2 linked regions of the Saccharomyces cerevisiae S288C genome follow. The protein of the gene in region 1 binds, or shares a complex with, the protein of each later gene. Each region holds a gene or a part of one and is shown in the gene's direction. Other genes may lie near its edges.

What was found.
Region 2: the proteins of HFI1 (region 1) and SPT20 are in contact, whole or in part, in a cryo-EM structure (PDB 6T9I), measured with the Saccharomyces cerevisiae proteins. Residues at the interface, in NP_015069.1 of Saccharomyces cerevisiae: Cys211 (codon at 2,193), Ser212 (codon at 2,196), Val213 (codon at 2,199), Phe214 (codon at 2,202), Ala216 (codon at 2,208), Arg217 (codon at 2,211), Asn220 (codon at 2,220), Asp378 (codon at 2,694), Asp379 (codon at 2,697), Asp382 (codon at 2,706), Glu397 (codon at 2,751), Glu398 (codon at 2,754), Leu399 (codon at 2,757), Asn402 (codon at 2,766), Arg403 (codon at 2,769), Thr404 (codon at 2,772), Ile405 (codon at 2,775), Ser406 (codon at 2,778), Leu407 (codon at 2,781), Thr408 (codon at 2,784), Glu410 (codon at 2,790), Asp411 (codon at 2,793), Ile412 (codon at 2,796), Asp414 (codon at 2,802), Ser415 (codon at 2,805), Ile418 (codon at 2,814); in NP_014493.1 of Saccharomyces cerevisiae: Asp124 (codon at 2,277), Leu127 (codon at 2,286), Ile141 (codon at 2,328), Tyr146 (codon at 2,343), Lys180 (codon at 2,445), Leu183 (codon at 2,454), Glu184 (codon at 2,457), Val186 (codon at 2,463), Ala187 (codon at 2,466), Arg188 (codon at 2,469), Glu197 (codon at 2,496), Val215 (codon at 2,550), Asp217 (codon at 2,556), Asn220 (codon at 2,565), Thr221 (codon at 2,568), Val222 (codon at 2,571), Arg277 (codon at 2,736), Pro278 (codon at 2,739), Arg279 (codon at 2,742), Val280 (codon at 2,745), Tyr281 (codon at 2,748), Arg282 (codon at 2,751), Thr283 (codon at 2,754), Tyr293 (codon at 2,784), Tyr294 (codon at 2,787), Met296 (codon at 2,793), Met297 (codon at 2,796), Ser298 (codon at 2,799), Ala300 (codon at 2,805), Asp301 (codon at 2,808).

What each region holds. Positions count from the first base shown.
Region 1 is NC_001148.4:67,923-73,031, forward strand, and holds HFI1 (Hfi1p), read left to right. Parts: upstream 1-1,562; coding exon 1,563-3,029; downstream 3,030-5,109. Other genes in the region: BBP1 (Bbp1p), read left to right, coding at 1-960; VIK1 (Vik1p), read right to left, coding at 3,141-5,084. UniProt on the Saccharomyces cerevisiae protein: Component of the transcription coactivator SAGA complex. SAGA acts as a general cofactor required for essentially all RNA polymerase II transcription. At the promoters, SAGA is required for transcription pre-initiation complex (PIC) recruitment.
Region 2 is NC_001147.6:45,260-49,481, reverse strand, and holds SPT20 (Spt20p), read left to right. Parts: upstream 1-1,907; coding exon 1,908-3,722; downstream 3,723-4,222. Other genes in the region: DNA replication protein PSF3, read right to left, coding at 34-618; PEX11 (Pex11p), read left to right, coding at 839-1,549; DCP1 (Dcp1p), read right to left, coding at 3,849-4,222. UniProt on the Saccharomyces cerevisiae protein: Component of the transcription coactivator SAGA complex. SAGA acts as a general cofactor required for essentially all RNA polymerase II transcription. At the promoters, SAGA is required for transcription pre-initiation complex (PIC) recruitment.

The sequences.
Region 1 (5,109 bases):
AACTTATCGAGGTCAAATTCGTGGTCTGGTCTGGATTCAACGCTCCATAGGAAGTACGAGTTACTCCCAGAGTACAACGAGAACGGCTTTAACTCAATTGTTAACGGTGACCACCACAGCAAAGAGAGAATACGATCTTTACGAAGTCCTGCTCCGATAGTACCGAGAGAACCACTTCGTAACGAACCTACGGATACATTTGGTCACAGACTACACACAAAAAGGAGAACTATAAATGAGCTTTCCAATTCGCAGATACCCTTTATACCACCTCAGGAAGACGACCCTTTGCTCTCGAAATTATTTAACAAGGATGGAGTTAATGAGGTTAGAAGATCGCCCTATAAGTTATCGGTTAAAGATATACCAGGCAAATTTCCATCTCCCTTAACAAAACGTGATGAAATAGACAATTACTATGTCCGGGACGAAGATGCTTGCCACAAGAATAGAGAGTATAAAAAGGCATATTTTGATCTTTTTGCACAAATGGACTTGAACAGTAGAGACCTGGAAGATTTGTGTGAGGATGTTAGAGAGCAGCGTGAGCAATTCCACAGGAATGAGCAAACTTATAAGCAAGCATACGAGGAAATGAGAGCAGAACTGGTCAACGAGTTGAAGAAATCTAAGACACTCTTTGAAAATTATTATTCATTAGGTCAGAAGTACAAGAGTTTGAAAAAGGTCCTTGATCAAACGATCAGTCATGAGGCTGAACTGGCCACTTCTAGGGAACGGCTGTATCAGGAGGAGGATTTGAAAAACTTTGAAATACAAACATTGAAGCAAAGACTATCCGATTTAGAGCTGAAATATACCAATTTGCAAATAGAAAAGGACATGCAGCGGGACAATTATGAATCCGAAATACATGATTTATTATTACAGCTTAGCCTTCGTAATAACGAGAGAAAAGATACTTCTGCTGGTTCGAATATTTTTTCAACAGGACAATAGGACAGGACTCCATTCCACAATGGAAATAACAGTTACGACTCTAATTCGCATTCATGGGACACTGATTACTTAAAAAATATAGACGGATTCATAGAACGCTGAAGCAGAAAAGCTGACACGTTTCTCCCACTGTAACATTAAAAATACGTCATGATAGCAATGATAATGTGTTAACTACTTAGGTATGTACATTATATAGATAACGGAATAAAAAAAGATACGTTCTTATTATCATCACTCAACACGAGCTGTAATTCCCGCCCATTTTTTCTTCATTATCAGGTTGCGATTTTGAACAAAAAAAGTGAAACTTGAAGTTACGATGTGACATAAATTTGTTAAAATAAAAAAGATAAAATTCAGGATAGAAGTAGGTGCAACGCGAAATTGTCTCTGTCTACTTGTGCCTTGAACATCGAACTTACAACAGATTAACAAAGTATCGTTGCTCTTTTCATTCGTCTGTTCGTTATCATCATTGGATAGGGCTTACTTTCTCGCACGTGATTTTTCCCACAGTATAAATTTTGAGCTATAAGTGGTAATAAAAATTCAATAAAAATATAGGGAAAACAAGCCCAGTAGTTTTGATTTCTTCTATCATGTCAGCTATACAATCGCCAGCACCTAAACCTCTGCAGCCAACTTATCCAGCTGCTTCGCCAGCTTCCACGAATGCATATATGAAGCCGGGCCTAATTGGTAGTCCTGCCGTCAGTAATCATACCGAGCCTAACAATGGTAACAATGAAACTGCGGAGCCTCAGGGACCAAATCAGAGAATTGATTTGGGTGCCATGATCGAAGAATTAACCTCACTATTGGGAAAAGAAAGCTGGACGAAATATGCTCAGATCATCAGTCTTTTCATTTTAGGGAAGTTATCCAGAAAGGAACTTTCTAATGAATTAGAGCTGGTATTTTCACCAAGCGCTGCAAGCTTAGAAAAATCAAATACAAATCATCACCATAGTTTAGTACGACTTCATAACCAACTTTTATTAGGGATTTTTGCTAATTCATTACGTGAAAACCCTCTTGGGAGAAACGGTAATGAGAGTTCTTGGGGATTTGGCAATGGAAGCAACAATCCAAACAATAAACTAAAAAGAATCAATAAGCATAACTCTCAAATTGAAGTCTATAAAAAAATTGTCATGTCGTTACCTCTAAATGATCGAAATAGACTTAAAATGATCACGAAAGAGGCCGGCAAAAGAGGCTTCATTTTTTGCTCTGTATTTCAAGCCAGATTAAATAATATACCCAAAATTCCCATTGTAACCAATCCAGAAAGTTTGAAGCGTGTCAAGAGCAATAATTTAAAAACGCCGCTGGAATGGTCACAAGATATAATGAATGGATTCAACGTTCCTTTAGCGAGCGAAAGCCATTCTTTACCAGACACGGATTCGTTTTACTTAAGAATGGTTGGTATAGCAAGAGAACATGGGTTAGTCGGCACAGTGGACGCACGTTGCGTAGAGCTTATATCATTGGCCCTAGATCAATATCTAAAAAATATAATAGAGTTTACTATTGATACAGTTCGTTATAGAAGGAAGAAATATTCAGATTATTATGATTTGAATGAGAGTGGGCTTTATAAATCCGTATCAGAAATGGCTGCTGATAAACGCGATGCCAAAATTAAGCAGTTAGATGATGATAAAAATGAGGATGAATGTGCCGATGAAGCCAAAAGTATTAATAACGGCAATAACAGTAGCAAGGACGATATTGGCGACATATCAATGAGCAGCATTACAAAGGCTGGCGAAGCAGTTAATGAGGAGTTACATGAAAACAGAACGATATCATTAACGAATGAAGACATATATGATTCGTTATCTATATTTCCGAATTTGGTTGAACCTTCAGGTTCATACTATGCGTTAACTAATTTAGGGCTAGTTAACGATGATGAACTAGTAGATATGAAGAGCAATATTGACGACTTGCCGGACTTCTTAAATGAAAAGCCGACTTTCACGCCTTTGGATGAAAGAAACGTTGGTACAAGGCATGAATTAAATTGGTTAATTAAAGGAATCTTAACGGAAGATTGATGTATAAAAAGTGTGTGTATGCGGTATGTTGTAATTATATTGAAAGATTATAAACCTTATTTGTTTCATATCTAAATGGCTGTGTTAAGAAAGACGATAATGTGACCGAGCTTAAGTGAGCTTTTTCTTTCTTTTACAAAGTTGTGTTTGAACTTCTTCTGAAATCGTTAATAATTTATTGACATTTTTTGAATCGTTCAAGTTTAGCAAGAAAAAGGATTTAGTATCAGAAATTAGTTTTTTCAGAACAAGTGCAATAGGGGTCTCGCATGATTCCTTCTTAAAGATGCTTTTATCAAACTGTTCAATGGACTTCAGATTATTTAACTCGATAAAATAAAAGTCCACCGGTACGGGGTCATTGTTGCCATCGCTTTTTGAATCTCGAGGAAAAAACTGCACCTTGATTATACCCATCCCAGAATGAGGTAAATTTGGGTGTTCATCACAACTAAAATTTAAGGGCAAATCTTCGAGTCCATTTTCTATGATGACAAGTTTGGAATCCAAAGAAATTGAGTGTTTTTCAAATTTCAACTTTATGCTATCTTTATCATTGTGGGAATAATCCAAGAGCATGTCCTGAGAAAATTCGTCATCTGATAAAAATACAAACTGTAAGGTGATCACATATTGTTTTTGATATATTGTATCCTTTTCGGCCAAAAATTTTATTAGAGACTCTCTCAATGAGCCATGTGGAGTGGTGCTTAGAGATATTAAGTTGAAATTTTTTTTTTGGTTCAGGCACATATCATGGTAAACGCTATACTCTTGAGTGAAAAATTTATCTTCAGAAACTTTTAAATGCGGTATCACCCTATTAAATTTGTAAACATGTTCGCTTAGACCTTGGGTTATTACGCCATTTTCGTAATCAAATAAAAGGTTCTCAGGCAAATTTTGCTCCATCACGTAAGCGTAACAGCGCATCGTGCCTTTTTGTTCAATAATAGAGTTTTCAAGTCTCCTACTCCGCAGGAGTTCTTTTTCCACAGTGTTATAGGTATCATTATAAAATTTTTCCTGTTTAGAGGCCATTTCTTTCAAATTTTCCATTTGGTTTTGTAAATGTTCCAAATCTTGCGAGTTTTGTAAGGATTTGCTTATTAGTGGGTTGTTTGCCAATTCCAATTGTTTTATATTTTCATTTATTTCTGAGATGTTTTGTTCCGAATATTCAGCTTGTCTATCTATATCCATGATCTCCTTGTGTAACTTCTCACTTTCCGATTGTAGAGTGGCTATCTGATCAAGTAATTCACGATGTTTGTTTGTCAAATTTTCCATGGATTTTAACTTAGCTTCTTTGAATGCAATAAAATCCTTCCTCAATTGTGATTCGTGGTTTACTTGTCTTTCCAAGTTTTGCTTCTGTAAATTCGCCCAATTTATGTTGAGCTCTTGCAGCGTTTTCTTCAACTGAGATATTTCCTCTGTGATTTCGTGGTCAGGCTCGACATTTTCCATTATTTGCAGCTCATTTTCCCAAAAGATAAGCTTATTATTGTACAATTCTTGAGATTCCTGCCTTTTCAAGATCAGATTCTGGTCGAGTTCAGCCTGCAAGGTTGCCAAAGCGGATTTGTTCTTCTTAATTAAATCAGCGCGTTCACCGTCCTTGGAGTTCAGATTTTGCGTCAAATCTCTAACCTGTTTGAGATACTTTGCTTGTTTGGATTTTTTCTTATAAAGTTCAAACCTGGACTTATTGAGATCTCGAAACTTGATGGTTTTGATTTCTCTTTCGCACTCAATCAATTGAGTCCTGAGAGTATGTCTTTGGAACCTTATTTTGTCTTGGCGGTCTTTTAAGTCCTTAATTTTGCTCATGTTGATGTTTAATGATGCAGATCGAGATACAGATGGGAAGGAATCCTTTACGGGTGGAAGAGCCAATGAACTCTTCATAGACGAAGGTCTAGAGCCATTCATGGTGTTTGTCGTGTTTGTGATATCCATAAGGTTTCGAGATTTTGATGAGGACACATTATCGGGATTGTGAAAGATTCTATTCTTTGAAAGAAAAGCGTGTTTGTTTTGCTGTGACGCCATAAAGTACACTGGTCAGGAAATGGTG
Region 2 (4,222 bases), on another chromosome or scaffold:
TTTATATAGTGTATTTCTAAAGAAAAAGATGTGTTATTTTTTAAACATCCACCTTTTCGTGTCCTTATAAGATTCATGAGACTTTTTATATATCTCCTTCTCCATTTCTTCTAGTTTCAGTAAAAATGTGCTAGTTGCTATATTAGTGTTCGCTGAATTTTTTCCGGTCGAGTCTGCATTGAGATCAATCGATAAACTACTAGCATGATGATTAAGTTCTTGGGCACGTTGCAAAAGTAGCTCACTAACGACATTGGCCAGTTCTTTTTCGCTAAACAACATTATCCATTTTATGGCTAGACTGAAGAAATGCGAATTTATGGAATGCAAGTCCAGAGCCACCGGATCGGTCTTTATAGCGTTCATAACTTTCGTAGAAAACATATCTGGTGGCAGGAGTTCCACAAAAGGTACAGGTTCTTCATCTACCAAGGCTTCGTCACCACCCACAATTGCAAGGATTCTTGCTAACCATAGTGGCAGGCTTAGTTTAGTGTTTTTCGTTATGGGTCGTCCTGGGTTGTTTTCCAAATAACCAAGACCAGGAATATCATATTGAAATTTACAAGGAAACTCTGTCCCATCTGCTAGGACATCATCAATGTCATAGTAACCCATCCTTTCTATGCTTGCCCTTCTATTGTAAAAATATAATACCAAGAACAAAGTTGGCATCAATTCCATTGCGATTTTCACTACGCGTCGGCATTTATCTCGGAGAACCCGAAGCGATGGGTATATCATTTATAGATATAAAAGGGAAGTGACTCCAACAACTGAAAAACCGTTGTCTCCATCTACTACTTCAAAGACTTCATCAAGTAATAGTATAATCAATATGGTCTGTGATACACTGGTATATCATCCCTCCGTGACGAGATTCGTCAAATTTCTAGATGGCTCAGCTGGCAGAGAAAAGGTTCTCAGATTACTGCAGTATTTAGCAAGATTTTTAGCAGTACAGAACTCATCTCTCTTGGCCAGGCAATTACAAGCTCAATTTACCACAGTCAGAAAATTTCTGAGGTTTCTGAAGCCTTTAAACCACTTGCAGGCAGCTGCTAAATTCTACGATAACAAGTTGGCCAGCGACAACGTCGTTAGAGTCTGCAATGTTTTGAAAAACATCTTCTTTGCTGCATATTTGTCGTTAGATCAAGTCAATCTTTTGAGAATTTTGAAAGTGATTCCTGTAACCGTTCTTACCGGTAAGAAAATACCTCGCTGGTCCAATTGGTGTTGGCTGTTCGGCCTCCTAAGTGGTCTGGCTATGGATCTTCGTAAGATCCAAACATCTCATGCCCAGATTGCTGCGTTTGTCAAGGCAAAATCACAAAGCCAAGGCGATGAGCATGAGGATCACAAGAAGGTACTAGGGAAGGCATACCAAGACAGGTACACCGCGTTAAGAAGACTATTCTGGGATGCTGCAGATTCGTTCATCGTCCTCAACAACCTAGGGTACTTGTCTAGCAACGAAGAGTATGTTGCGCTATCCGGTGTTGTCACATCTATCCTTGGTATGCAAGACATGTGGAAAGCTACATAGCTTTCTTTTCATCTTTTTTTTTTATTTGGCTATTCTCCGCTTATGTTTGATTCGACCCTTCTTTATAATTTATTTCTTATGTATATGACCCAATGTTCCATGTCCATACCTGTATAAGATTCTGAGTGACAATAGTTCTTGTTATCCGCACCATTAATAACTAACTAACTATCTTTAAAGTAAAACTGGGATCGCTATAACTGCTTAGTTCTGTTACCCGCTCGTGATACCTGACGACCATTAATCATGAAGAAGTGTTAAGATGATCGACCAGCAGAGATAAAAGAATGAGAAAAGTAGCCTTCAAGAGGATTAGGAAGGAATAGTTACGGTTAATTTGCGCCTATATATTTCAGGGATGAGTGCCAATAGCCCGACAGGAAACGATCCCCATGTATTTGGTATTCCTGTGAACGCAACACCATCCAATATGGGTTCGCCAGGCAGTCCAGTTAATGTACCACCTCCTATGAACCCAGCGGTAGCAAATGTAAATCATCCTGTTATGAGGACAAACAGTAATAGTAATGCCAATGAAGGTACTAGGACTTTAACCAGGGAGCAAATACAGCAATTGCAGCAAAGACAACGATTATTACTACAGCAAAGACTACTCGAACAACAGAGAAAACAGCAAGCACTCCAAAACTATGAGGCTCAGTTTTATCAAATGCTTATGACCTTAAACAAAAGACCTAAAAGACTTTACAATTTTGTGGAAGATGCAGACTCAATTTTGAAAAAATATGAGCAATATTTACACAGTTTTGAATTTCATATTTATGAGAATAATTATAAGATTTGCGCTCCTGCAAATAGCAGGTTACAACAGCAGCAAAAGCAACCCGAGCTGACTAGTGACGGTTTAATATTAACCAAAAATAACGAAACTTTGAAAGAATTTTTAGAGTACGTCGCAAGAGGAAGGATTCCTGATGCTATTATGGAAGTCTTAAGGGACTGTAATATCCAATTTTACGAAGGAAATCTTATTTTACAGGTTTATGACCATACTAATACAGTTGATGTCACCCCCAAAGAGAACAAGCCTAATTTGAACAGCTCTTCTTCCCCTTCAAATAATAATAGCACACAGGACAATTCCAAGATTCAACAACCATCCGAACCTAATAGTGGTGTGGCAAATACAGGCGCAAACACAGCAAATAAGAAGGCATCCTTCAAACGACCTAGAGTATATCGAACATTGTTGAAGCCTAATGATTTGACGACGTATTATGACATGATGTCTTATGCAGATAATGCCAGGTTTTCTGATAGCATTTATCAACAGTTTGAATCTGAAATTTTAACACTTACCAAGAGGAACTTGTCACTAAGTGTGCCATTAAATCCATATGAGCACCGAGACATGTTGGAGGAAACAGCTTTTTCAGAACCTCATTGGGATAGTGAAAAAAAATCCTTCATTCACGAACATCGTGCTGAGTCTACGAGAGAAGGCACGAAGGGCGTTGTAGGGCATATCGAAGAACGCGATGAATTTCCGCAACATAGTTCAAATTATGAACAGTTGATGTTGATCATGAATGAACGCACAACAACGATAACCAACTCCACGTTTGCTGTTTCGTTAACCAAGAATGCGATGGAGATTGCTAGCTCCAGTTCCAACGGGGTACGTGGAGCTTCGTCCTCAACTTCGAATTCCGCATCAAATACAAGGAATAACAGTTTGGCTAATGGCAATCAAGTAGCTTTGGCAGCGGCAGCGGCTGCGGCTGCAGTGGGATCTACCATGGGTAACGATAATAATCAATTTAGCAGGCTGAAATTTATTGAACAATGGAGAATAAATAAAGAAAAAAGAAAACAGCAGGCTTTAAGTGCAAACATCAATCCAACCCCCTTCAACGCTAGAATATCGATGACAGCACCATTGACTCCACAGCAACAGCTACTTCAAAGACAACAGCAGGCCTTGGAGCAACAACAGAATGGTGGAGCCATGAAAAACGCAAATAAACGGAGTGGTAACAATGCCACCAGTAACAATAATAATAATAATAATAATTTAGATAAACCAAAGGTTAAGCGACCTAGAAAAAATGCAAAAAAAAGCGAGAGCGGTACACCAGCTCCTAAAAAGAAAAGAATGACTAAGAAGAAACAGAGCGCAAGTAGCACGCCCTCTTCTACTACAATGTCATAATCTACTTAAATAGAGTTATCATTCCTTATATATATATATATATATATATATATATATATATATATATTGTATTAAAGTACATCATTATTTAAAAAAAATTCTCACTTGGGCATCTCACCTCTGTGCTCAAGCAAAAGAATCTTTTGGCTCATTTTCCAGAAGATATTTTATTAGTTCGTAGATATTTTGTCTATCACTAACTGTATGAATCCATATACCATAGACCTCATGCTTCAAGTTCTTAATAATGACCAATTCATCTTTCACCTCTACCCCCATGCACTCTAGTGGGTTAAGTGTATCCTCTTCTGCATTAAATACTTTTCTTTTATTTACGACACTATTGGGAACAATGCCCATAGAAAAATTGTCAGGATTAATTCGGTTTAATATGATCAATCCATAATTGTATATGTCCTTTCCACTTAAAGTTTTGCCGCAATTATATGTTAGCGAATCATTACTTTTATAAGAGTTCCCATTTCCACTGCTATTCCTGT